Oreochromis niloticus: one gene and its partners. The protein of the gene in region 2 purifies or fractionates together with the protein of the main gene of each other region. This does not show direct contact. Links are inferred from orthologs where the notes say so. Each region holds a gene or a part of one and is shown on either strand. Other genes may lie near its edges.

What was found.
Region 1: the proteins of cdc5l (region 2) and fus purify together in Homo sapiens (affinity purification with mass spectrometry; 4 studies listed by BioGRID and IntAct, with this or other methods). This does not show direct contact. The link is inferred for Oreochromis niloticus from reciprocal best matches to the Homo sapiens genes CDC5L and FUS.
Region 3: the proteins of cdc5l (region 2) and top2a purify together in Homo sapiens (affinity purification with mass spectrometry; 3 studies listed by BioGRID, with this or other methods). This does not show direct contact. The link is inferred for Oreochromis niloticus from reciprocal best matches to the Homo sapiens genes CDC5L and TOP2A.
Region 4: the proteins of cdc5l (region 2) and snrpd1 purify together in Homo sapiens (affinity purification with mass spectrometry; 4 studies listed by BioGRID and IntAct, with this or other methods). This does not show direct contact. The link is inferred for Oreochromis niloticus from reciprocal best matches to the Homo sapiens genes CDC5L and SNRPD1.

What each region holds. Positions count from the first base shown.
Region 1 is NC_031969.2:32,751,485-32,758,941, reverse strand, and holds the start of fus (RNA-binding protein FUS), read right to left. Parts: upstream 3,010-7,457; coding exon 2,997-3,009; intron 934-2,996; coding exon 909-933; intron 705-908; coding exon 541-704; intron 463-540; coding exon 279-462; intron 1-278. Other genes in the region: uncharacterized protein LOC100698127, read left to right, coding at 6,949-7,013. UniProt on the Homo sapiens protein: DNA/RNA-binding protein that plays a role in various cellular processes such as transcription regulation, RNA splicing, RNA transport, DNA repair and damage response. Binds to ssRNA containing the consensus sequence 5'-AGGUAA-3'.
Region 2 is NC_031978.2:5,910,860-5,917,888, forward strand, and holds the start of cdc5l (cell division cycle 5-like protein), read right to left. Parts: upstream 3,019-7,029; 5' UTR 2,837-3,018; coding exon 2,792-2,836; intron 2,323-2,791; coding exon 2,219-2,322; intron 2,049-2,218; coding exon 1,887-2,048; intron 1,751-1,886; coding exon 1,623-1,750; intron 1,429-1,622; coding exon 1,329-1,428; intron 1,193-1,328; coding exon 1,066-1,192; intron 961-1,065; coding exon 869-960; intron 639-868; coding exon 494-638; intron 379-493; coding exon 187-378; intron 1-186.
Region 3 is NC_031973.2:19,732,786-19,740,213, reverse strand, and holds the start of top2a (DNA topoisomerase 2-alpha), read right to left. Parts: upstream 3,012-7,428; 5' UTR 2,841-3,011; coding exon 2,823-2,840; intron 2,094-2,822; coding exon 1,947-2,093; intron 1,805-1,946; coding exon 1,714-1,804; intron 1,604-1,713; coding exon 1,540-1,603; intron 1,426-1,539; coding exon 1,280-1,425; intron 1,065-1,279; coding exon 967-1,064; intron 875-966; coding exon 662-874; intron 356-661; coding exon 182-355; intron 1-181. UniProt on the Homo sapiens protein: Key decatenating enzyme that alters DNA topology by binding to two double-stranded DNA molecules, generating a double-stranded break in one of the strands, passing the intact strand through the broken strand, and religating the broken strand.
Region 4 is NC_031985.2:21,348,540-21,355,516, forward strand, and holds the start of snrpd1 (small nuclear ribonucleoprotein Sm D1), read left to right. Parts: upstream 1-3,972; 5' UTR 3,973-4,113; coding exon 4,114-4,127; intron 4,128-4,687; coding exon 4,688-4,764; intron 4,765-6,977. UniProt on the Homo sapiens protein: Plays a role in pre-mRNA splicing as a core component of the spliceosomal U1, U2, U4 and U5 small nuclear ribonucleoproteins (snRNPs), the building blocks of the spliceosome.

The DNA of each region.
Region 1 (7,457 bases), on a different chromosome or scaffold from region 2:
CTAAAGACAAATGCGGCCTTTAAATTATTTTTTTTTTGACTGCTTCTATGAAGGTTCGCTAAAGTAGTCGACCTGCCTCCATCTCCTGCTATCCCAGCATCCTCCTCTCTCACACATGCTGTCTGCATGTCCTCATGGAACAAAATATAAATGAAAATGAAGTCCAGTCCAAACTTCCGCAGGTAACGTCAGTGAGGTTTGTGGTTGCTCCTAAACACTACCCCTGTGGAGACGGGGCTGAAATCAGTGAATTAAAGGCGAGGTGAACGTGAGCGTACCCTGCAGAGGATGGAGGAGGAGGCTGCTGCTGCTGGCTGTACCCGGAGAATGACGACTGCTGGCTGTAGTTCATGCTGGACGGCTGGTTGCTGCTGTTATAGCCTCCGGAGCTGTAGGACTGACTTGAGTGACCATACCCACCACCGCCACCGCCCTGGTTGGAGGATGGAGACCCGTATCCACCTGGGAAAAGGAAACTGATTCAGAGGTGACTGGAAAACAGTGACTGTGGATTTGGGCGGACGCTGGGGCTTCCTCTACCTGACTGAGGATGGCCGTAGCCGCTATAGCCTCCCTGATTGTAGGAGCTGGAGCTGCTGTCCGCGCTCTGGTTGTAGCCTCCGTAGCCCTGCTGGCCGTAACCCGGGCCAGACGACTGACCGTAGCCCTGGCTAGCACCGCCACCTCCACCATAGGATGGATAGCTGCACACACCAACCAAGAATACACCATTTCAAATCTACTTTTTATCATTCACTTACAAAACAAAATTATTTCCACGGTTAAATGCAAGGACTTACTTTTCTTGTTTTAACCCAAATTCAGAATCTAAATGTATTTTTCTGGACGAGTATTAATAATGACAGAAACCTTCATGAATGAATAAAGACATGATTTACATAACTCACCCCTGGCTAGGTGTTTGGGAATAATCTGAGGAGAAAAAGCAGAGAGGGTTAATATTGAAGATAATTTTAATGATAGCAATCAAACATCCAAACAGTGTCAGACATAATCTATAAAACTCAAACTCAACAGTAACTATATAAGACAGATTTTAATGGTAATTATTAAATTAATAAACTATATTCTATCTGTAAAAGCCCTTTTTAAGAAGGCCAGCTTTTTATCATCCAGAAATGAAAAACAGCAATACTTAGGCTCAGTTTTCATGACATGCACTAAAACTTATTCTCTTTCAGTCTGGGAGTAGATTTAATCCATGTCCGGGAGATCTGTCCAAACCGAACATAATTAACAAAAACAGACGGATTTAAAGTGTTTCAGATTTCCAACACTGTGAAACTATTTATGAATACATTAAACACCACATCAGACACCAAATCCACTGAATTCAAATTTGTCAGATCTGTCTGAAATCTTACTTTTAAGATTATGCTTAAAACTTTTGTTTTTTGACGTAGTTAGGACTGGATCGGGGGACCCTGAACCGACAGGCTTCCCATGACGCATTTCTTCTTCATTCACACCACTCTGCATTTTATCATTTGTTATTATTCATCTCTGCTCTCTTACCCCCAGCTCGGTGTTATGGACGAGCCTTGAGGGTCCTGAGCCGCCCAGTCAAGTCACTGTGCAGCTGTATCCTAATGACACACGTCAGCCGTAAGTTACACTAAATCACATGATAATGGTAAATGGCCTGTATTTGTATAGCGCTTTACACATCCAGTCATCCACCCATTCACGCACATCACACACTGGTGATGGCAAGCTACGTTGTAGCCACAGCCACCCTGGGGCGCACTGACAGAGGCGAGGCTGCCGAACACTGGCGCCACCGGGCCCTCTGGCCACCACCAGTAACGGCAACGGGTGAAGTGTCTTGCCCAAGGACACAACAACCGAGACTGTCAGAACCGGGGCTCGAACCAGCAACCTTCCGATTACAAGGCGAACTCCCAACTTTTGAGCCACGATCGCCCCGTGAAAAACATAAACACCCTTATCACTGATAAGCTACTGCAGTGCAGCTCAGTTTAATGATTCGGTTTACAGCAGTTTAGAGCTTCCTGTGCAGGTCAGAAGTATCTCTGTGTCTCATCTGTGTGTGCAGTGAGCTTTAAAACATGACCCTGCATGAAAATGGCAACACAAATGGAAAAGTGACGAGGATATTGTACCCTAGTGTGTGTGTTGTGAGTTCAGTGATCCAATCAAACACAGATACAGTCGCACTTTTATAACTCTAAACTTTGAGTGTCCTGTGCCTATATGTTTGGAAATATGTACACCTGTTTATTTATTCTGTTTTGTGTTTTTCTGGAATAGCAAAGTCCTCCCTGTTAAAGTCGGTTACCCTCCAGTTCAAACACCCAGCCTGCTGCTCCCTGCCCTCAGCCCCATCAGGCAGATGGCTGCCCCTCCCTGATCCTGGTTGTAACGCAGGGTTCTTCTTGTTAACAGGACCTTTCCTCACAGGGAGCCATGTGACTGTTCTGTGTTGTCGCAGGCTCTTTACCTCACAGTATTAATAATCCAGCCCACAGATGCCAAAAAATGAATAAGGAAATGTCTTTCATTATTTTGTGTTGAGTTGGATGTCCGGTGTAGGTAGGTGAGCTGGTTTTTGCTCGGTCTCCGCTCTGATGTGCTTTTAATAAACCGAGGCCAGAGGTTAAAGCAGCGGATCGGCAAAGGGGAGCGGTTTCCCTGCTCGAGACCGCAGTGAGCCACCAGAAACTGGGTCAGCAGCAAAACCGGGCTAACGGCGAGCTAACCGGACCGGACCGGAGCAGGCACCGGTATTACTCAGTTAACCTAAGCTAGGCGGTGAGGCGTCCTGCAGCCGGACAAACGGTGGCGTAAGGCCTGCATGAATTAAATGTGAGGATGGACGCCACGCCCCCAGAGAGCCATTTAAACTTCAGCTAGCCGCTAGCTGTCCTCTGTTCACCGGCAGGTGAAGGTGATGCTATCTTTAGCTAACCGCTTCCGACGCCCAGACACCGGACAGATTTACCAGTTTCTCTTACCGTTAGACGCCATTTACACGGAGACAGCGCCGCTTCAGCCTTTCTCTCGGTCAAACAGCGGGTCGTTGGATGATTAAACCGAAGAAGAGGACGAATCGACACGAAGCTCGACCCACTAGCGCTGCCGTCTTCAGCTGCTGTTCCTCCGCCGGCCGCCAGGGGGAGCGCAGCAGTATCGATGCTGTTTAGTTTTATATCGGGTGGGAAATGGTGCATCAGCTTTTTTTTTCTTTTTTTTTTAAATGAACTTTATTTAGAACAATAACAATGACAAGCTCAAAGAGACAAGCGACATATTGAATCATTCAGAACAGAATCGCACCTCCGTTTTCTTTTCTCCCAATCAGAGGAATACACATCATTGCCACAGTGCAGTTGGTACACCACAATGAAATCAATGAAATCGACAATGACTGAAAGTAAACATACATACATACATATGCAAACACACACATTTATACACACACGTCTACATAATAATAATAATAATAATAATATAATAAAAATGAATAACCAATACAAAAATTAAATAAATAAATAAATAACAATAAAAAAGAATAAAAAAAAATGAAAAACAAGGAACAGAAATAAAGGAGACAAGGGGGATCATAAAATCTCTAAAAGTGAGGTTCCATAAACAAGACACATAACTTAAATAAGGGGCTAAGAAAAATCAAACTCTTCTAAAAATCTATGCAATTTGATTGCTTGGGGCTTATTTATTAGCTTCAGAGATTTACGGAACAGGGAGAGTTCGTTTTTAAGAGCAGCCCATGAAGGGGGGGATTTAGCATATCAGCATTTATGAATGTAATACTTTGTTATAATAATGAGATTGTTAACTAAAAACTCACTATTTTTGTCCTTAAGGATTACTCCAATTTGAATATTTTGAAAAGACCAAAAATCAATATTTCCATACTGGGACAATATCAGGACATGGAGGGATTTCCATAAGTTCTGGATTGTCACACACCCATAAAACATGTGCTCTGTTGTTTCCGAAGTTGTTTTACAAATATAACAGTTGTCTAACACAAATTTAAATCTGTCTCTCATAAATTCATTGGAGGGGTAAATAGTTTTTTGTAGTTCTAAAATGGACTTCTTTAAATTTGGGGGGAATTGGAAATTTTAAATATTTGGTTCTGATCAACGAGATCTCAGATTTGTTATAATCTTTAAAATGGTAAATGGCCTGTATTTATATAGCGCCTTCTAGTCCCTAAGGACCCCAAAGCGCTTTACATATCCAGTCATTCACCCATTCACACACACATTCACACACTGGTGATAGCAAGCTACGTTAAAGATGAGTGTATGTTTTGTCCTACCTGGATATAAGATGTTAACCAAATACCTCCTCAGAAACTGATTATTGCATTTTTCATTAACCAAGTCAAGACCATCTAATTTAATTTTATGTAAATTTGGAGTCGGTATATTTGAAAAATTGTTCTTTATCGTATTGACTAGGACTATTGGGATATTCTGTGAAACCTTTTTGTACAGCTCGAACGAGCAACTCATGTCATATTTCTCATTAAACCTGTTTAATTCAAGTGTATCTCCATTTTCATCCATTATATATGTCACAGACCAAATTTGTTTTGTCATTCTTCCACAAACATAGATTTCCCCCGATTCAATATCACCCTATTATTCCACAATGGAACGTTGTGGGGACTAAAGTTATGTTTAAACATTAATTTCCAATTTAACAAAACTTGTTGATGAAATTTGGAGAGTTTTATGGGCAGTTTAGAAATTTCAAAATCACATACTAAAAGGAATTGGATCCCCTCAGCTTTGTTGAAAATATGAGATGGTATCAAAAACCAGATCTCATTATCATTTTTTAAAAAAGATCGGAGCCAATTAATCTTTAAGATGCCATTCATTATTTCAAAATCGATTGCTTTTAAACCCCCCTCTTCATAGTCTTTTATCAAGTCCCTGTTACTGATATAATGATGTTTATTTTTCCATATGAAATTAAAATTCAGCTTATTGATGTCTTTTATAATCCTTGGTGGGATGGCTAGGGAATAAACTGGATAGATTAATCTGGACAAAGATTCAACCTTGGTCAACATTATCCTGCCGACCAAAGTTAAATCTCTCTGTAGCCAATGGTTTAGGGGTTTTTTTGCATTTGTCAGTTGTATTCTGAATATTCTTTTCTTCGCTATCAGCCATGCATTTAGTTAGCCAAATTCCAAGATATTTGATTTCATTTTTGACACGTATATTGTACAAAGAAGAGTGAGAACAATTGTGGATACTCATGAGTTCACATTTGTCCAGGTTCAGGCGTAGTCCAGAAGCATCAGAAAAGATCTTTATTGTATCTAAGGCCAATGGAATTTGTTCTTTATTTTTTAGAAAGATTGTTGTATCATCGGCAAGCTGACTTATTATTAATTTGTGGTTATTTATGTCTAATCCTTCAATGTTTGAATTTATGACAGTAATAGCAAAAATGATGCATCATCTCAACGTGTTTCTGAAATGTGATTTCTTATAACACAAAATAGTAGTATATTAATCAAGCCATGCAATAACAACATGTGCCGGAACATGCAAAACAGTGCAAAAGTAACATGCCGAAACTGTTCAGACAGTGAATGGACTGATTTTTATATAGCGCTTTTCTACTCTCCCAGATTACTCAAAGTGCCAACTTGATACCAGATCCTGGCCAGACCTGCTTGCTATGTGGGCACTAACACACACACAGACACAGTTACTTTACCAACTGACCCCTGACCCCTGAGCTCCTAAGTGTCCCTCAAACCTCATACTCCTCTACTTCACTGTCACTCCCTGAAAGCTCTCTGTCCTCACTTTCTGAGGACAGAAAGTGCACATTCCCTTGGTTTCCTTGCATAAAAGGTATTTACATCCATGTCCTGTAATTATGGGTAGATTGTAAAGTAAAAAGCATTGACTATGATCATATAAATGCACACAAACACATCTCTACACACATATGCAAATGCACTATATTGCCTGAAAAAAATTGGGCTAACTGCGCAGTGTTGCCTTGAGGCAACGAATGAAAATTAACAGTTTTACTATATAAATAAATTTTAAAAAGTAGAAAAAACAATCAAATATGCTTCTTAACATATTCATGCACATACAAGTATTTTTTTAATATACATTTATTTCACTATAAACATGTAAAATAGTGATCTTTATCTTGTCTCCGAATGGAGATGTCTCTCATGTACTGCAGCTTGCAGAAAGGGGTCCTGCCCCCCCCCCCCAAATATAAGTCACACCACCTTCAACTCATCATTTTATTGGAAAGAGATGTGCCTGGTAGCATTATTTGAAAAAAAAAAGTTGGTTTTTTTTGAAGGGCCAGTGTAAGGCATGAAAATGTGGTTTGTTGCCTCAGGGCAACGCTATGCAGTAGAGGGTTAATAGTAATAGTAGTAAAACAGTATCATTTTAATAACAACAATAATAAAAATAATTTTTAATCACTTTTTTCATTTTCTTCAGAAGGAAAGTCAGTGAATTTATGATGACGGCAAAAACAGTAATGACAAACCTAGTTTGAGAATTGTTTGGGGTGTTTCTCTGTCCTTTAGATCTCACTGCGAAAGAAGAATCCATAAAAGCGGCCATCACTGCATTGAACATGCATGGGTAAAGGACCAAGTGCCTTTATTTGGATAGTGGCAGACCTGTGAGAGCAAATAAACTACATTCAGTTTCATCAGTGAAATTTTTTATTATGAAAATACAGTAAATATATTTTATTTAGTTTCCATCTAACAGTCCAGGAGTAAAAGGCAGGCCTGCACTTGAGGATCACTTTCCTGAGAGAAACTGTAAAAGTAAACCCGTCTGTTTTCATCACCGTGGCAACATGTTTCCACAGAAACAAGCTTCATCATCACTGGTAAGTAACTACAGAGCAGGTGTGATTCCTGCTGTAATGATCGAGCACATCTCCTTCAGTTTTCTGTATCAGAGAGCGTCCTGTGTGGTGACTGTGCTGAGGTGACCACACTTGTGATGTTGCTGCATGTTTACTGTCAACAGGAAGAAACAGGCAGTTTGTTTCCTGTTTGTTTGTCGGGGTTGCCGTGGTCGTGTCTCGGTCAGCGGTCTGGGAACTTGGACTTGAGTCATTCTGTTGTTCCGAGTTTTTATTCTTGTTTCTTACTTCTTTATCGTCCTGTTTCTTAGTTCTTGTGACGCCATCTTTGCTTCCTGTTTTTACTGTGTGATCTTTCCAGAGATGCGTTTCAGGTTTAGGGTTACGTTTCGGTTTATTCTTTATCGTTTCCTTGTGTATTCCTCCCTTCTTTCCCGTCTGTTTTCACTGTTCCCTCTCCCCAAGACTTTTATTGTTTTAGTCTTTTACTGTTTTACTTTTGGATATTTGACCTTTTGTTTCCTGGTTCTGGATGAAGCATCTTTCTGTTTTGTTGGGCCTGTTGA
Region 2 (7,029 bases):
CACATTGGCCCTCTAATTTTGACTGACTTTACTCTTTATTCATGTGGGACAATTTAGCTTAGCATCTCTGTAATTACATGGATCAATTAATATGAGATATCACATATATGCTGAAATCACACATACGGGATTATGTGAGATTGAAAAAGACATATGTGACACATTGCTTTTGAGTGTCTTTATTACCTGCATGATTCTGTCCTGAGCAGCAGGGGTTCGTGGGGTTCGTAGCCCTGTTGCCATGGTATTGGTGACACTGTATTCTGAGAGGAGGGTGGAGGAGGCGGAGTTAGCGCTTTCACTCTCCTCGGCAGCTTGACGGGCGACCTCACTGGCGACACCCAATTTGACAACTTCCTCCAACTCGACGTCACTGATCTGTGAAGAAAGCCAATTAAAGAACTTAATGTACTACCTGTTATCAATATAACAAGTACATTATATTGATATATAAAATCCAGAAGTAATAAAATTTTAAAAAAAAAGTGGTTACCTGTGGTGCGGGTAACACCAGTTTGGAACGTTTTTTGGTAAACTCAGCCACTCCACTGGTCTGCAGGATAGCAGATGGCAAGTCACTCTCCTTCTTCTTCTTTATCTTCTGTTTATCTTTCTTCCTCTCCCTCTCTTCAGTCTCACTATAATAATAATAATTTAAAAAAAAAACACAACAGGGCTTACGAATGGATGAAAACCAAAAAAATGTGGAACACATTTTGATCCTTATTATTTATATTATATACCATCAGCGTGACATTCTCACGCCTTTGCTGGGAGAAGTCAAGACCCAAGGAAAGTATTCAAGTGACATAAACAAGGAGCCATGTTAGCATACAGAAAAGCACCAGTAGTTTAAAGTGATACTAACTTGCGTAATTCTCCATCCAAGTGCTGCTGTCTGAGCCTCTTGAAATTAGGCTCCTGAGCATCATACTGCTCCATGCTGGTGTCATAGAAACCCTTAAAGTAAACAAAAGACAACAATTACTACTGTAAGATTAAGTTAATCTCACTGCTGATGTTGTGGGTTATTTTTAAGGATACAACACATAAAGCTGTGGTTACCAGTGCAGGTTTCTTTTCAAAAGGGATTTCAGCATTATAGTCTACTCCTCTCTTCTTCTTTCTCTTCTTCTGAACATCGATTCCTGCTGCTCTCAGCTCTCTGCGTTTCTGCAGAGCAGCCAGCCGCCTACAGTATGACACCAGGAAAAAAAGAGTCACATATGATCATTTTATTATTACATGTCAACTGCTCTGTAAGAGGTAAAGTTATGATAAATACAGCTTGTCTGAGGGCAATTGTAAAAGCATTAAATTAGCTGAACCTGGCTTCCTCCAGCTGTTTCTCTCTGGCCTTCCTCTTGGCTTTCTTGCCCTGGGTGTTGGCCAAACGAGCCCTGGCCTCTGAAAGCATCTCCAACTCATCTACAGACCGATGAAGACAGACAGACACACAAAACACATTGGTTAGTTACCACATATGACTGTTATGATTAATCTTAAATAATTAAATATAAAAATGTACAAGATAACTAGGAAGCAAATCCATTCTTAACACAAGGACACATTCTCTTGTTGGCTCGATAAATCTGACAGCATCTGACAGTGTGTTTTTGTACCTTCGTCCATATCCACAGGGTCAGGTCTGGCAGGTTTTGTTTCAGGATTGGGATCAATTTCTCCTGGTTTCAACTTTCTGGGGTCATCTCCCACTTCCTCCTCATTGTCTCTTTGAGCTGCTTTGTCCCTGAATAAAACACAAAATGCATCTCAATTACAAATCAGCAATGATTAGCAACAATGAATGCTCCTGGACATACAAGGTGAAAAGCCACAGAATTACAAAACATAGTGAATAAATGTGTCTTTAGAGATAAACATACAGCAGGTATTCGTAGTGTTCCAGACACTGAGCAGCAGTCCTTCCTATGATAGGAGCAATGGTCCTCCACTGGGTGGGCATCAGCTTGGCCAAGTGAAGCAGCTTCTCCTCCTCTTCTCTGGACCATTCTGTTTTCTTGATACTGGGGTCCAACCACTCGTACCTACAGACAGAAACAAAGCCAGAGGAGAAGGTCTTTATTTCGCTCTTCTTAAAGAGAGATTTGAAAGCTAAAAAAAAAATCACAGACAGAAGAAACAAACATCAATGTATGTAGAAGTTTAATTAATCTCATGTTTTTGACACATCACACATCTCTGACTCAAAACTCACCATCGGGCTTTACACTGTTTTGCAGACTTTCGGTGCAGCAGGGAGGCGATACGGGACCACTGGTTTTTCCCATATTTCATTACAGCTGCCTTGAGGATCTCATCCTAAATAAATTTTTAAAGAAGGAACAGACGTCCATAAATTAAATGGATGTACTAAATGACAAATGATTTAATCAGACTAAACATGTCAAAACCCTTTATCCTCAATCCGCAGTGGGCTGATTCATTTTCATCCCAGTGCTGAAAAACAATTATATTATCCCCTATCTTTTGCTCACTTATAAAAATTTATGAAGTCTTGTGGTTTGTTATTTTGGCCATCTAGATTGCCAAATATTCGCTAACTGTAAACATGTATGTTTAAGTGCAAATTAAAAAGCTTCGTGCATACAACTCAACACAAGCACGAAATAAAGTCTTAAAACACAGCTGGCGATAATTTAAATAAACTTTAAATGCCACACGGGATAAATTCGTTAAGTGAGTAGCTAGCTTCATGCTAACTCGAGACCATAGGTTTGCTTTCGGAGTTTAGCATCATGCTAACCAAGCTAGCCATGTAAACACGTACCTCAGTGTTGCGCCAGACGCCTCCTTTAATCATAATTCGCGGCATCTTGGCGGCTTCGTTGTATCTCCTCCTTCAGTGAAATGCTATAAGTGATTCTTATCCAGCTGTGGTGTTTTGTAGCTTTAGATTAAAACAAAACAAAAATCCAACTACAAACCAAGCGCTGCGAGGGAAAAAGCGACATGCACCATACCGGAAACTCACAACGGGTGCACCACATGAATTGTGGGTAATGTGGTCGACGAGTAATGACGAAATTCGATGACAGTTTCCTTTACCACCTCCCCTTTCACAACTTGATAAAACAGACAAAGGCAAATATCTATGAAAAGCACTCACCATAGAATTAATACATGTTAAAAAATAAATAAATACATTTACTAACTTATAAAATTATTAAAAATTGTAATAAAAATGTATATATAAATCTGAACATTTAAACATAAATAACTCGTATAAGAAAATAAAAAATGAATTAATTTTTAAAAACACCTTTGGAAAAAAACGTCTTGATGCATTCTCAATCATCCAGGAAAGTAAATCTCCAAAAGTTGAATCTGTTCATCTGGACGTAGCGTTTTGTGGGAGAAACGTTTCGTCACTCATCCAAGTGACTTCTTCAGTCTCAGCTGACTGCAGGTTTCCCCAAACCTTATAAACAGGACATTTGCATAATGACTGAAACCAGCCCACTGAAGGAACAATGGGCTGTGCGGTCAGTTCCTTAATCATAATTATGCAAATTCCCATGCAAATGTACTGTTTATAAGGTTTGGGGAAACCTGCAGTCAGCTGAGACTGAAGAAGTCACTTGGATGAGTGACGAAACGTTTCTCCCACAAAACGCTACGTCCAGATGAACAGATTCAACTTTTGGAGATTTACTTTCCTGGATGATTGAGAATGCATCAAGACGTTTTAACCCACTTTGGCAAGGACTGCCTAAAGCTTGTACTTCAGTATGAGCAAACAGCACGTAAGATGGCGGACTACAGGAACCACCTGAGATTCAGCCTCAGATGCCGACAAAACAGGATTACTCCTAAAAGTCTGCAAATGAGCTCTTCAGTTAAAGGCTTCCGGGCAACAAAAATCCTCCAGAAGGCACAGCATCAGTTGCTTAATGAACGGGTGAGGCAGACAAATTTTACCATCGACATGCTAAAATCTCAAGAGGAGCGGATCCGACGGAGACTGACTATGCTTTTAGATGAGAATACTCTTCAAAAGGTCTTTGACTTCACTGAGAAGGCTCGTCTAGCACAGCACAAGAAGTCTAAGACCAGGCAACAAAGGAAGTTCGACTTACTTGTTGTACGTCGGAAACCACCGCAAAATACGGAGAGTGTCCTCAGTGGCCAGAAGAGACAAGGATGCAACATGGAGGATGTGGACAAGTGGGTGAAGAATTTGTCTGACAGACAGCTCACCCAAACAGAGAAAAACATCCTTGCTAAAGGGTTGAATTTTGCTGTCACACCGAGAAAAATCCCGCTAGTGGAGCTGATCACAGCCACAGAATCAGCAATTCGTAACAACAATATTTCAGAAGTGGAAGCAGAGCAACTACGGACGAAAGTTTCGGCCTATCTCAGCAATGCAAAGCCCCCAGCATCCAACATCTCCATGGAGGAGAGGAAGGCACTCACATCACTTAGTGATGACAGCAACATTATCATCCTTCCGGCAGACAAGGGTAGGTGCACAGTATTGCTTAACCAGAAAGACTATCATGAGAAGATTTTGTCACTACTCAGTGATGAAAATACTTATGAGCCCCTGAAACGAGACCCAGGAAGTGGTTACAGGAAGAGGGTGATAGACTGTCTGAAGCAGTTAGAACAAGACAAGGCTATTGACTGGACCTCATACCACAGGCTGTACCCAGGGGAGTCTACACCAAGTCTGTATGGTTTACCGAAAATACATAAGCAGGGTGCACCTTTAAGACCAATTGTCTGCATGATCAACTCGGTCACCTATAACATCTCCAAGTTTCTGGCTTCAATCCTCAACCCGCTGGTGGGCAGCTCTGAACACCACATCCAGAACACCCTGGATTTTGTTGAGAAGGTGAGAGATGTCATTATGGAGGCAGATGAAACCATGGTCTCGTACGACGTTACATCTCTCTTCACTTGCATCTCAGTCACGGAAGCGTTGGAGGTAGTCCGTAAGAGATTACAGGATGACACCAACCTCAGCAACAGGACCACTCTCAGCATCGACCAAGTGTGTTTGCTTTTGGAACTGTGTCTTCATTCCACCTACTTCACATACAAGGGTCAGTTCTACAGGCAGAATCATGGGTGTGCCATGGGCTCCCCAGTTTCACCCATCGTGGCCAATTTGTACATGGAAGAAGTGGAAAAGAGGGCTTTGCTATCCTACCCTGGAACACCACCAAGCCATTGGTTCAGATATGTGGATGACACCTGGGTGAAAATCAAATCTCAGGACGTACTACACTTCATGGATCACATTAACTCGGTGGACCGACACATCAAATTCACCAGGGAGGATATGAAAAGTGGCAGGTTAGCCTTCTTAGACTGTGAGATTTCCATCAGTAATGGGGGACATCTAAAAGCTGACGTGTACCGTAAACCTACACATACGGATCAGTATCTAAGGTTTGACTCTCATCATCCACTGGAGCACAAACTGGGTGTCATCAGGACACTACAACACAGAGCGAACACCATCCCCACAGACACAGCGGCCAGGGAGGCAGAAGAACAGCACATCAAGAAGGCCCTGAGTAAATGTGGCTATCCCAGCTGGACTTTTGTCAAAGCTGGAAAGACACCCAAAGAAAGCTCCAGCCGATCCAGGAGAGAAGGACAACCGCTGCCCAGGCGAAAACCTGTGGTGATCCCATATGTGTCAGGAGTATCGGAGCAGTTGAGACGCATTTTTTCGAAACACCGGGTCTCTGTGGCTTTTAAACCCCAAAATACGCTGCGCCAAAAACTGGTCCACCCCAAGGATCGGGTCCCCCGACACAAACAGAGTAACATAGTGTACGCTGTTAAGTGCCAGGAGGATTGCCAGGATTTATACATCGGGGAAACCAAACAACCTCTGGCGAAGCGGATGGCACAACACAGAAGGGCTACCTCGTCAGGCCAGGACTCTGCAGTCTATTTACACCTACAGGCCAGAGGACACTCTTTCAAGGATGAGGATGTACACATCCTGGACAGGGAAGAACGCTGGTTTGAGTGCGGAGTCAAGGAGGCCCTTTACGTGAAAAGGGAAAGACCATCTCTGAATCGAGGAGGGGGCCTAAGGGTACATCTTTCGCCATCTTACACTGCTGTGATTGCAGCCATTCCCCAACTCTCTGTGAATGGGACTCATGGCCATTGATCAGTGTTCTTTGATCAGTGGGTTTTGGTCAGTGATTGTTGATCAATGGTCATGGGAATTTGCATAATTATGATTAAGGAACTGACCTCACAGCCCATTGTTCCTTCAGTGGGGTGGTTTCAGTCATTATGCAAATGTCCTGTTTATAAGGTTTGGGGAAACCTGCAGTCAGCTGAGACTGAAGAAGTCACTTGGATGAGTGACGAAACATTTCTCCCACAAAACGCTACGTCCAGATGAACAGATTCAACTTTTGGAGACCTTTGGAAAACATATTCTCTGTGTATACACATTTTCATTTAATGAGAGCATATCTATTATTCCATATTGGTGTTACATGTAGCATGAAAATATGTTTCTCAACCAGTTTCGAATAGATAGGAACCGTTGATATGTAAGTTCCTGGATTCAAAGCATAATAAAAAGTCTATCCCTCCTAAATTTTGAAATGAAAAAGCAAATAAGGTATGTTAAACCAAAAATAACGGTCTACTATTAAGAAAAGGTTTTAACCATTTTAACTTTAAAACAACCAACACCAGGTGGCATCTGTCATTCTGACAAGACTTGCATATGTCGAGACATTATGTCATTAAAGGTTATCAGGCAATCAAAAGAAATGTGCAGGATGGTCAGCAGAGTACAGCTGAGACACAAGGTCTGATGCAGTGTCCTGCTGACCATTTGAGTGGATGAGGAAATACACAGCTGCTTGCTGTCTGGAACTCAAAGTCCCACAGGACCTTACCTCTGTTGTTGTCAGTCACCTTTGTGGTGTCTCCCATAGGGACTTGGGGACTTTTAGTCCGTATGTGGCACAGATGTTCCTCACCACTTGGTTGTGCCTCTCAGTGTATGCGGTCTCA
Region 3 (7,428 bases), on a different chromosome or scaffold from region 2:
GCTTGGCTGCCAAGAGAGCTCAGTCTAGTTCAATCATTCTTAAACTATTTTAGAGCTGCTCAAAGATGTAAATTTACACAGCTTTCCAACAAACTTAAACATTTAAATTACTGATTTAACAACAGCCTACACATAGACACAATATATGCATTAGATCAAATCCAATGCACTGAGTTATTACCTTTGTTGTGGCAATGCTGTTGACAAAGCTGACTTGCTGGAAACCTTTCTCGCTCATGGTGAGGCAGACCTCCCAGCGCTCGTTGACAGTCTCATGGATGACAGTAAGAGGACCACCCAGTTCATCCACCTTGTCTTTCACATACATGTCCACATAGCTACGGAAACCTGTAACCTTAAGTGTGAAGTTCATACAGTTTATATCAGTTTAAATGCATTTTATCCTGAACAAATTAGGATGGAACATGTAAGATTTGTCTTGCTAACATCAAATATTTCATTAAATGAAGTTACTAGAAATATTTTTAGGTCAGGTAAGTGACTACTTTTGATAAGTACACAAAAAGCTTTGGATTTTAGGTTCAACTTTGTGAATTAAGTCTTCAGTCAACATTTGAAACACGCATAATATATTGAAAAGCTTAATGAAATTAGTTTCCAAAACATTAAGAGTTAACACTTAAAGATCACAGTAACTTACTGGTAGCTTCTTGCTATTAAAGAACACCCGGACACCCTTAGTGGCTCCAGCAATATCATAGGCCCTCCTGGTCATCAGAGCCACTGTGTCTTTGTCCAAGATGCTCATCTTAAACTTGGCCAGATCTGGTCTGAAGGTGATGCAAGTGTATTCCTCTCCATCAAACGGTTTGATGCTAGCCTCCCCTGCTCTGCCCATATTGTCATACCAAGTCTATGGGAAACATGGGCATAACAGAAAATGACATTCTCCCTGATCAAGACATAAAAATTAAAGTGGGAAATGAGATTGACCTTCCTTCATACCTGCTTGAAGCACTTCTTCGACTGTTTACAAGCAGTCTCGACAGTGAACTTTGTACTGAAGATGTTGCAAAGCTTGGCACCGTATCCATTTCGTCCACCTGAAGAACATTTATATAACATTTATAGAGTTAGGAACAGACTGAACATTAAATTTGTTTTTTTTTTTCCTAATAAAACGCTAAAATTTCACCATTAATTGTGTTGGACATAATGATGTAGAAAAGAGTCTTTGTAATTATACAGAATATCTTCTCATTAAGAATGACAGAAAACAATCAGTATTATCTAAAGCACTCAAATTCATCAATCTTACCAGTGACTTTCTTCTCGTCATCATCATAGTTACTTGAAGTGAGAAGCTGTCCAAAGATGAGAGCAGGTACATAAACTTTCTCCACTTTGTGCTCCACCACAGGAATACCCTTCCCATTATTCCATACACTGATGGTGTTGTTTTCACTAAAAGGAACAAAAACATACACAAGCGCTTGATTTGTCAGCTGGTAGCTGTAGTAGAGTTACTTTGTATTTTAATATCTTAAACTTGGTAGTGCACCGTTATACACAACTCACGGATCAATGTTGACCTTGATGCAGGACATGCTCTTATCTCTCTGCTTGTTATCAGCTGCATTTACTACGGAAAGAGAAAGTAAAATCTATTTTTACTACATTTTACTGGAGCAAAAACATTGTTTAATAAAGGTTTGTCATGGACATCTATAATTGCAAGAGCTTTTTACTTACCAAGGATCTCATCAAAAATCTTGTAGAGCCCAGGCACAAATGTCACATCACGGCAGTTCAGTCCAGCATCCTCATCAAACACCCACATTTGCTAATGAAAGAAGTTAAATAATCACAAGGAGCTTGCATGCGTTCATTTAATAAGAACCATAACTGTGCAGTCAAAACTCCCCCCCCAAAAAACCTGCTTTAAATCTACACATGACTGTTAAAGACATTTTAAAACTTCTTACCTGAGTGACAGGCTCTACAGAGCCTATGTAGGAGTCCGGTCTGAGCAAAATGTGCTCCAGCTGCGTCTTCTTCTGATAGATCCTCTCCACTGACAGCCGCTTAGGATCCTTCTTCAGCTTTTCCACCGGCTTGTTCTCAAAAAAGGCCTGATGAAAACGACACAAGGTTATCTTTTAAGATTCATAATTCAACACTCTTTATTGTCATTATGGATAACGAAAGCAATTCTCCCTCACATGGTGCAAAAAAAATAAATAAATGAAAAGCTTTAAATAATATCAATATACTGATATCTTTTATAGGCCTTGCACCGTAACGAAGATGGGACTTATCTTTGTACTGCAGGAAACCTTAATATAATGATCAACATCATCTATAATGCTACTTGCTGACAGTTTTGCATGCCTGCGGTTATATACGTCTTCAGTTTTACTGCACAAAAAACACAATGCAAATGTACGGGGGGGAGAAAACACCCCCCTGGAAGTTGCTTGGCTCTGATTACATTTGACGCTCAAGGACACAGGGTTTAGCTCAGTATTTAAGGACAGTTTTTATTTCAAACACAATAAATAATGCGAGGTGAATGAATGCAGGGGTAACACCATTTCAACTGGCTTAGCAGCATTAGCTATAGTTAATGCTTACAAGCTGCTGTGCCAAGAGTTAGGACTAGTTGTTAAGTTACTAAAAGGAACACTCTGCAAGTAGTGCATTATTACGTCTAAACAGCGGGCACTGTTACATTAAGCAGCTCACGACGTTAGCCAAGTGCCTTTAACTGTTTCTTAGAAGTTTAACTTACAGTTGTAGCAGGTTAGCACGTAAGCCTAATAACACGTTAGCAGCAAATATGAAAGCGACAGTAACGTTACCTTCAACGGTTCAGCCATTCTTCTTGTATTTAATGTTAAAGCCCTTCGTTTGAAATATAGTACACTCTAGGTTTGCAACAAGCTAAATAAATCCCAGCTACCCCCAATAATAACGGCTGCCTGCACTAAAACGTTCCTTCGCTGCCTGAGCTGAGGTCCCAGTTTGAATATTCGAAATTTTGTGGAAACATCTCCCGCCAGCTATATTGACCAATCATACTACTGAGCGCGTGACGAATTCCTCCAATGAGAGAAGCAAATCCGTTCTTTTTCAATTAAATAACCAATCGTAGACGGTAAAAGTGGCATGAGCCCACCCATCTCTTGTATCACAGCCAATCAGCTTTCAAAAAGAAGTAACCTACGTGCTGGGAATTCAAGTACAGACAGGAAAAGAGTTAGGAGGGAAACAAAATAGCCTGTTTCCTTGTTTTGGATAAAAAATATCCTGTCAGCTCTATTTTTATAGTGTCCAATGAAGAAATGTGACCTATATTTTATTATTACTATTTTGTTTTCAATGTTCTTGGATTTTTGTTCTACAAATACAAACGAAGCTTTTTCTCTCTGATGTTTTCACGTTTCTCGGTTTTTAAGGCTGACTGAGCAGTTCCAAACGTGAATCTTTACTTTTTATCAACTGTAATACAATGATAATAATAATAGTAACTATCATAACAATGCGCTTTCCAGAAACACACAATAAAGGAACAAACTAAGACGAAGTTATAAAGAAATTACAAATCAACTAAAATACCTCATCCTTTATGGCAAAACATTATTTAAAAAAATATACTAAAATAAATTTTTCAGTAGAGATGAAGACACTGATGAGGCAAGACAGATTTACTTAGGTAGGTCATTACACAACGAAGGACCCCTAATAGCATCAGTGATTTGAGGCTCCAAGAGAATAATGATGTAAGATGTAATCATATCAGATTGGACATAGAGTAAATACTATCAGTATGTCTCCTTCTGGGTCTGATTATATATTTTTATTCTGTTGCTGCATAATCCAATCCAATCAGAGGTCATATCTGAGGAGGGGAGCTTGAACATCTATGCTTATTTTATCTCATATACAGCATATTTCCCAGAACTCATGTATTCATCTAGATAACAGACAAAGTTTTACAGGTAAGAGATTCCTCTCACATAGGAAAAAAACATTCATACCAATTCAACTAAAAGAAAGATTTTCAAATGCATTACAGATGTGCACTGATTGTGGACTGGCTTGCTCATGCAACAAAAGCTCACTAATACTGAGATCCAGGGTCAGCAGGCTCAGCCCCCCACTGACGCTGGCAAAGGGCCCATAGCCTGATTGATGTCACTTTCCTTCCTCCAACTCCCCAACTGCAGAGAAAAAGAGGACATGATGTGAAGAAAAAGGGAAAAAAGGAAATGGATTTTGTTGTCTGGTGTTATGATTTTTGACACTTTTTGGTCACTTGGGATATAAAGCATGAGTGGCCTTTTAAATGTACAAAACTTGCCTTGCAAGAAAAGTGTTCTGTTTTTCTGGGACCATGGTGCTCACTTCTTTTTTCTTTTTACACTAGAGTGTACTGGATCTTTCACTTGATTTATCACCACCGCTGCCACTTTCTGTCCTTTGTCTCTCTTTTACTTGCATAAAATACAGGAACTGCTTAAAATCTGTCTAGTGCTCAATATCATATTTCTTCTTTTATATTGTTCCTTTCTGTCCTGGACTCTTCCTATGTAGCTGCACGATACCCCAACACTGTGTTTTTTAGTCATTTATCAGATAGACCTTCACTTTTTCCCAATCCTCTATTCTACTGGGATAAAAAGATTCATATGTGATGCTAAGAAAGCATTACTTCAGCAGCACAGTTTTATTCAGCTCTAAGCAACCATCTCTCTTCATATTTCTTGTCTTGTGGCTATCAGTCAATGGAAATGCAGTAACCTGATTTATCCAACCGTTCTACCATTCTTATCTGTCTTCCTCTGCTATGTTGCCCACTCATCTGACCTTAGCATGGTAATAATAGGGCGGAGGAGCTTGAGTAGAGCTGCCTCGGTCCGGTCGATGTAGTGGATTGCAAGTACACTAATACACCCACAGCTGCACACATGAATGAAGGAGCGAGCACACAGAACTGTTTATCTGATATTTTTTTGCTTGGTATTTTCAGCCAAAAAGATTGAGTTATCTCCTTTAAGAAATCTAAAAGAATGTGCCTGCTGCCCTCACACTTTCAATGCACACAGGGTTGGACATGGTAGCTTTAAAAAAGACTGTTTTTAAACAAGAAAACAGACAGTTTATGTGGTACCTTTACAATAAGGGTGCAGAATTTTGATCAGATCAACATATCACATTTGTTAAATGCATACAAAACAACATGCAAAAATAAACATTTGTGGCCTTCTAGGGATTTTTGTGTCTTTTGGACACTCAAACATTATTTATTACATTCCACATTATATATCTGGACTATTTCATCTATCTATCTATCTATCTATCTATCTATCTATCTATCTATCTATCTATCTATCTATCTATCTATCTATCTATCTATCTATCTATCTATCTATCTATCTATCTATCTATCTAATATCAAGAATATTTTCTTTAATGATTAATAGAATACATAAACCTTTGATTTTATATATTTCTGTTGCACTTTTTACTTTTAATGAGGACAAATAATTTTTTAACACTGTGTAAGTCTCACACAGACTTTCTCTTATCTAGCAGAAGTGGGCAGTTTGAAACAGGAATGCTAAGTACTTAGCATCCAAAAATAGTCACCCTGCAAAGTAGATGGACACTCTCAGTAGCTACCACCTGCCTTCCTGTTTATTTATTGATGGCTCTGTGTTTTCTGAAGCTTGACTGCTGGGGACGGTGGGAGAAAACGAAACTTGGAGTGTCACAGACGTGTTGATAGCTGTCTGAAGGAGATGCTTGATGTGGCTTGATGAACAGTGTCTTACAAGGAAAGGGCTCCTTTACGGATATTAGTGTGACAGGTAAAGAGCTGCTCCAACTGAGCACTTGACAAGCTTGTCAGAGCTTGTCCAGGAGAGCGTTTGGGGATTTGTGAAAGATGTGACAGCCAAGAGTGGAAAAAAAAGATAATTTTCTTTATTTTGGCTTTGCATCCATCATAGACCGCAAAAGATAAGCCAAAGATATTGGAGTTAATAATGACCCTGCACTGGAATCATTTTGATTGGTAGTGACTAGAATGGACAGGTTAGAAATGAGTAAATCAGAGGAACAGCTCAGGTCGAACAGACTAGAGAGAAAATAAGAGCGGCAGAGCTGAGATGGTTTGAACGTGTGCAGAGGAGGGATAGTCGATAAACTGGACAAAGGATGCCGAATATGGAGCTGCAAACCAGGAGGAAAAGAGGAAGACCACAGAGAAGATTCATTGCCTCTCTGAGCCTGGTTCTGCCGGAGATTTCTTCCTGTTAAAAGGGATTTTTCCTTCCTACTTTTACCAAGTGCTTGCTCATAGGGAGTCATGATTGTTGGGGTTTTCTCTGTATTATTGAATGAAAGTTGCTTGAGTTGACTTGTTGAGTTGGGTTGTTGTGATTTGGCACTATATAAAGAAAACTGAATCATGATGTGATTTGATACTGTGAACAATTAAAAAGTCTTGTTTATTTTATTAGAAATGGGGTTCATCAAGCATTGGGTATATGTACCAATTTTGTTGTCCACCACTGAACATAAAACTATCTGCTGCACTATAAAACTGTAATAACAAGTGTCTTAAAATTACTTACAGTATAATCATTTCTTATTTTCTGTAAAAACTTGACTTGCTACCCTAAGTATTTGCGGGTGAATATAATTACATCATAATTTCAGATTTTGGAAATTATGCCCTTAGCAGGCCCTTATATAAAGTGCTACCAAATGCTCTTTACGAGGAGTAAGTGTCAGGCAGTGGTTTCTGTTGGATTTTACTTATATTTGATTAAATTCCCCTCACAGTGTGTGTAATTATTTCCTGGCAAAGACTTTTCCCTGCGAGTAGCAGGATAAGAGAGAGCTCATAAAAAAATGATGACAATGAACTAAAATGAAAACAAAATTACAGCTTTAGGTCCACTGTGAATATTTTGGCTCAGTCAATTTCCAGGTGTGTGACAGATAAAACGACCGCCAGTGAATGGCTTAAGGTAGAAAACAAAATCTCAGTAGCTCAGGCCGTGCTGGATGTGAGGAAGAAGGAGCTGTTACTCAATATTTAAACCTTCAACACTTTTTATTAGAGACAACAGTGTTTAGGAAGGAAAATAACATCTTAGAGCAAACGTCTAACATTCACAGCATTAATATACAGATTTTTTTTCTCCTCTGGTTGCTTTCTGGGTCATGTTTTGACCAGCACATTTCCAGCTGTGTCCTTGGAGGTCCACAACATGACCTTTAAGGTGAACACCCCTCCCTGGCTGTCATTGTGAATACAGTGAGGGACTAAGAATTATTATTAGTTTGAAAGGGCAGCTCAGACCACCTCTATCCTGTGTTTGCAGGCAACTGCGGGCAACAATAGTAACTTAACATTTAAAATTGAACAATCAGTGATGCAGTGTTATTTAATCA
Region 4 (6,977 bases), on a different chromosome or scaffold from region 2:
AGAAGAGGGTGTGGACGCAGGGTGTGTGGCTGACCTGTCGCTGGACGAAGCGCACACACACCCGCACTCACACTCCCAACATGGAAACAGTCCCGCACACACTGCCCCGGCAATGGAGAGAGACTCAGACCTCGTCCTTCAGTTAGAGGAGGACCGGTCACCTGAAGAGTGGACGGAGCAGGAACACCTAGTGTGAAAGTGACAGATATAGAGAGAAAGAGAAGGTAGAGCCGAGATAAAGAGAAAGAAAACCAATCAGAGAGAAGCACTGATGGATGATGGAAGATGTGTGATGGTGGTGCCTGTGTTTGGGGGGTGGAGTGTTTACTGTATGTATTATACTGTATTTAGAGAGGACTTAAAGACCTGTGGACTCTGTCCAGTAAAGATGATGTCATACACGTTTTGATTATTTTTAAGTGCTTTTTGTCTGCTCTAAAAACAGACAAATTATTCTTTGAAGTGTTTAAACCATGAACGGAGAGCTACTGATATCATAACACAACAAAATGCTCCATGTTTTAGTTTAGTTTAGTTTTTTTCTTATTTTAATTTAATTCCCCACCTCTTCTGTTTGTCTCCTAAGTTTGTTCAGGGTGAAGTTTTGGTGCTGTTCATGCTGAAATCCAAACTTGCCTCATTTAACTACACTTGATTCTCACACTAACCCAACCACAAGCCAGTTCAGAGCTCCAAGAGCCAAATATATGAAGATAACTGTAACTTTGGAGCCTGTTTATAGCGTGCTGTACAATCAGAGGGCCTAATTCTGATTTCTGGACCTTCATGCACACTGTGCCTGTTTGTGTTAGTGCCAATACAGTCCTGATCTTACTTTTCAGCAGGCTGGCACAGTCTGCTGCGTAAACGTCACACTATTACAGCACCTCTCTGCACGTGAAGGTCAGAGGTCAGTCCCAGCTGCAGAGCAGCGCCCATAAAGCTGGAAGTTCAGTGGGTGCTTGTTTGCAGAGTGGATTGAGTTCTCTGTTTTTTGTTCTGTTTGGGCTTTTTTTGGGGGGGGGGGGGGTTGTCTTGTTTTGTTTTTTTGCCACTCGCTGCACATTTCAAATGTTTTGTATCAAAGATGCATCTTCATGTTTAATCTGCAGAGATTTACAGTGTTTTTCTGCCACTTTGGCTCAGTACTTGTGCACCAGATCTCACGTAGCAGACAAAATACAGTGGGTATTAAATGAGGTAATGCATCAACCAATCAAATTAATCTGAGAATAATGATATCCAGTATTTAACCTCCTCAGATCATTCATAGTTGCTTTGATTTTAAAAAACTACAAATATCACGGAGGAAATAATTTGGCATTTTAAGCTGAAGACTGACTTCAGAATGATCCTTTACTTTATTAAACCTGATAAATAAAATACAGTCAACAGGTTTAAAGTGCTTCACACAAGTCGTCCAATTAAAATTATTAAATGTTTAACCAATTAAAAGAGTAAACAGTTAGCAGACGGTAAACTAAAATATGCTTTATCACTTTGGATTATGCACAATGTGTTTTAAAGTTTGACTTTACACTGCAGCACATTTAAAAAAGCTGATTTTTCATAAAAAGTGAGATTTCAGCCACTTTCACAAGTTTTGTCTTCACAGAAGCTGCTGTAAACAGTTTTTATACGACTGTAAAATAAATAAATGAGAATATATTGTTAAAACGCTGCTGCACTGATTCATGAATCTGTTTATTGTTTGGTGCTCGTGTGAGTCGGTTCTTTGAGTCGTGCGGTTTCTGAGCCAAAGCAGGCATAACAAATACTGTAAATGTGAGCACATTTTATGGTTTTATGTAACTTTTTATCATATCTTTTCCACTACCTATAGCGCCCTGCAGTGTGCTCTAATTGACGGGACGTGGGTTTGGGTTTCTACTGTATTTGATTCTTTTTATTCCTTTAATTATAGACAAGATGTTTCTTCCTGTTGAGACCAGAGTTGTTGGATCTGTGTGCCTTTTTCTTTGTTTTGTTTTGTTCTGATTGTATTTATCTGTTGCTATTTATTAGTGTCATTGCTTTTTAAACATGCTTCATAATGAAAGATGATGATGAAAACACTTTAATACACTGATTTTGTTTTATCCCCCCCCCCCGGGTGAGTCGCAGCGCCCACATTTTCAGCCCTGAATGAAAAACCTCTTTGAGCCTCTCTGAAGGAATCCGCTGCTTTTCCACGATGATTAAAAAACACTTTATGTGAATGTTGACCTTTGATTTGACACCGCCTCTGAGATGTAACTGCCGGGATGTCATCAAGCCTCAAATCTTTAAACTTTATTGCCCAAATACAATGTTTACAAGGGAACTAAACACTGCCTGCTGTGATGAGGACTGATTTGGTGCTCTGGGGAGTGAAATGAGAATAAATGTGAGGATTTTAAATGTCCTTTGATGGTATGCCAGACAAATACAAAGACACCCTTTGTAAAACTCAAACTGACTCACTTAAAACTGATTTTTAAGCATTTTCTGAAACCTGAAGTGATAAAGTGAGAACTGTGAAGGTGGCTGGCTCATAGCATTGCACGAAGCCCGCTGAGATGTGAGGGCAGCTGTGACATTTCAGGCTCCACTCCCTGAGGAAAGAGGGATTCACGTCAGTGTTTGGGCACGCACTGCGTCTTTGTTTCGCAGAAACATGCTGGCGAGTGTCGGATGTGTGGTCGGGCTGCAGAGGGACAGCGGTTAAATATTCCCTTTTTTGTATGTGTGCCGTCGATGGCGTCACACAAGCAGTTGCATTAGTGTTTATGATTTAGTGCTCCCTCATCTGACATCTTCAGAGTTTAAGAGATTGAAATTGCACTCTCACAGATTATACTTGATACATTCCCAGCTGGTCAAAAGAAAGGGTTTGATGTGTGGCCAAAACTAAAAATGAAAGTGTCAGTGCAAAGTTTACTCTCAATAAAAAGAACTGAAAGTGCACTGCAGTGACATTTTTATTTTTTTGTTTTAGTGCTTTGATTTCTGAACTTCCATCAGCAAGAAAAGGGAACATGTTCCCTGATTAGTCTCCTATTTATCATAATGTACAAGGTAGACTGACATTATTTCACTTCATGTTGCTGTCAAATCCGCAACAGCTCTTAGCATGTACATGGAAATGATAAGTAAACCCATTATCTTTAGGTTTAGACTGCATTTATTTGAAAAACTAACACAGCTGCACCTCAGGAGAGCAGAAGTGTTAGATTTTTCATTTGTTTTTATTACTTTTTTTTAATTGATTTTGGGTTCGGGAAGGCTTTCCTTATTTTAATTTGTTTTCATTGTGTAAAATGCTTAGTTTGATTAGTTTCACGATTTATTTCTGTAATCTGTCAGGAGGAAAATTTTTAGATATTCAGCTATTACAGCACAAATCCAATGCGGCATCTCAGCCTCACTAAGTACGACCAAACTGCCAAAGACTTAAACAAGACACAGCACTGTGCAAAAGACTTGAGTCGCCCTTTGCTTTCTTTATATTTTGCTTTTAAGCAGCCAAACTTCTCGATCTCTGTTCTTGAGGCTTTCTGAAGGTCTTTCAGTTTTTATTTACACCTCAGGGATGCATCTGGCTCTTCAGTTCATACACCTACTTGTCAGTCTCATCAGAAATCTTTTTCACTGGAAGGATGTCTGTGAAGAAGATCTATTTTCCTAGCAAAGTAGAAAGAAATAAGGGTATCTCAAGACGTTTGCACTGTATTGTAGCGTTTTTGGATTATTTGTTATTTAGTTTACACACAGTAAGTTTTTACTGTTGTTACAGTTTACTACATTTATGTTGACACTTTGACAACATATATTATAATAAAAAATATATATATACGCATTTCTTCTATTAAATATTTGCTTCTGTAAAGTTCAATAAATCCAAAGATTTGTTAGATTCGGGGCATATGTTCAAAACGCTGTTTATTCTTCCATCGGTAGGCGGCAGTGTTGTCGTGCAGCGTGTCTTCTTCTTCGTCGCCGTCGCTCCTTTAATGACGTCGTAAGTGCGCGAGTCAAACGTAATTGTTACCACAGCGGCCTGTGTGTGTTTTCACCCGCTCGCTGTAATTTTTCTCTTTGGTGGAGGATTTGTCTCTACAGTCCATCACCATCATGAAACTAGTCAGGTAAGCAGAGTCTGGAATGCGCCATTTAACGAACAGGTGAACGTGGGATGATGGAGTGAGGGTGCTGCGGCTGGATGGGTTTAGATGGAAAGCGGAGAAGAGGAGGATAAGATATGAGCGGGAAGCATCGGGCCGAATGAATGGAGGCTGTCCGGAGTTACAATGCTCACACTCGTAGTTAAAATACACCTGCAGTATTAACCCTGACGCTCGGTAGTTGAAATTAGCTCTATGCATCGACGATTTTTAAACATACTTTGGTTCGTGGACGTTAGCAGACTCGCAGGCCCGGCCTTGGTTAACCTGCTACTCAGCGAACGAAATGAACGTAACCTAAATGTTTAGTAGCAGGAGCACAAAGCTAGTTCAGTATTTGTTTTAGTTATGGCGGTTAAATCTGGAGGGTTTCAGCGGGTTTTCATAAGGTCATCTCACTCCTGGGGTGGTTTTGTTTTGCAGCTGAAAGCTATGCAGCTAGTAGCTAGCTTGAGGCTAGTTTGTGGTTCATTTCCAGGCTGAACTCAAACATAGATGTTCGTCTTCTTCCACGATGCCCACAGGTTTTTGATGAAGCTCAGCCATGAGACGGTTACCATCGAGCTGAAGAACGGCACCCAGGTCCACGGCACCATCACAGGTAGGACTCAGCTGGAGGTGCCTTAACGCTTTTATTAGTTGTGCTGCAGTTTATTAGCTACACTAAGCTAATTCAGTCCACTAACACTGCTGTAGTTCAGTTGTTTCAAAGTAATTTTAATGTAACGGTGGCCTGTAGGGCTCATTTTCAAGCCAACACCCAATTCTACCTAAAGCTAGAGTCCTGTGGAAATACTGGGAAATGTTTTTATATATATATATATATATATATATATATATATATATATATATATATATATATATACATACATACATGTGTCTCACTTAAATATAAGCAAAGTATGCAGGTCCCAGGTTTGCGATTAATCATTTTAAAGATCAATAAACTGGTTTTAGCTGAATGTAACTTTCCCAGCTCCCTCTTTTGGTAAATACAGTGAGCATCACAAAAAGTGAGGTTTGTTCCATAGTCTTCTTATGCTTGTGTATTCCCTTACATGTCCCAATAATACTTCAGTGGGAAAGCACTATTAAGTCCTCCTGTGCATTGTACTTCTTCGCTGCTGTTTTCAATTTCTTAATAAAAGAATAGCAATCATAGCATCAGTATAAGGATTTATAGATGTCACTGAATTCCTGGAAGGAGTTTGCAGAAATTATCGAAATGGAAGACGGGGGATATACAAAGGAGGAAGTGGGGGGGGAAAACAGATCTAACCTCAACAAAGAGTTGTAACCTAAGATATTTTATTTGTTTCTATCAGCTGGCACTGCTTATGAAATGCTGGGATATGACCGCACTGTAATTAGCACATACTGCACCACACACAGCATAAATGTTATAGGACCTAGAAAGATTTCCCACAGAACTCTAAATCAGATAAAACTGTTAGCTTTGCTAATTCTGTGTACTGCGTGACTTCATGTCATTACTCTCCACTGTTAAATGTGCTCCAGTGCAGCCCTCCATAATCCAAACTGCACAGTAGTCAACATAGATGATGCTGTGTTTGTGGGAAGGAAGTAACAGCGGTGTTCACCAGGAATGTTAGAAACACAACAAAGAAATGATGTGCAAATGAAGCATAGAACCAGTACTGAGCCAATTCATCAGTTGCATTGAAAATGGGTTCATTCATTCACAGCTTTGTTTCAGTGACATCTAGTGGTGGAGTAGGAGTCAGCAAAACAATGTGTCGATAATCATGTGCTGATTGTAACAAGGGTTTGTTTGAATGATATAAATACAATTTTGCAAAGGCGGTCAGTTGATTCTGTAAACTTATGTAATAGTTGGAAGGAGGCGTGCTTTGGGAAGCCCAGGATGTGCTGGGATGGTAAGGTGTGCTTATGTACAGGGGATTTGAAGATTTTTATTGAGAAACGATATTTTTTTCCACCATTGTTAGACTGACCTGGCTTCTTTTGCTATTGACAACTTTACAGCTTTCGAAAACACATTCACATGGTTCTGATGAGGGGTTACGAAGCATCTCTCGTTGCATAGCAGTATAAACTTGTTTGGACCAGTCATGTGATTTCAGTCAGGTCCACACCGAAGCAGATGTCACTGATCAAGTGTTTGGTGTTGTTGTTTTTCCTCGCACCGATGCGAGCTTTAAAGCGGCTTGTATTGGAGCATTAGTGTCATACAGTCATCCACTACAATACAGAAAAAAGCACAAAGTACAGACTGTGGCCGCAGATTATACTTTCCCTAGTTTTTAAACACTTCAGCTGTTTATGTCATAACTTCGCCCTTCTCCACGGTTGGCTGGTTGATCAACAGCACATGTGGCCCACAGACAACCTCCTTTGACACGTGCGCCATCTGACAAGAGACGCTTGCTTGTAGGTAGATGAGCTATCCACGTAATAACAACACACCACCTATAAACCTTAATTTCAGCATTTGTCTAAACCGTGTCAGTGATGACAGTCTTCCCTTCTTCCTTCACAGCCATTGGATAAAAGACAGACTTTAGACAAGTGCTTGTATGATGTACAGTGATGAGGGACGTGAGAACGACTGACACAAAATGCAGTGCAGACCCACAGAAAGTGGGCATCTGGTCACCCTTCTTCCATTGTGATTCAAGTCGTCCGCAGTAAAACACTAACAGATTGATGCCTTACAGTTACTGGACTGTTGGCAAATATGTTTGCATTCAGTGCTGACATTTTAGGTTGCTATGTAAAATATTAAAGGAGCTGGGAATAGCTGAAAGATTTAAAACTGCATTTTCTTTATCT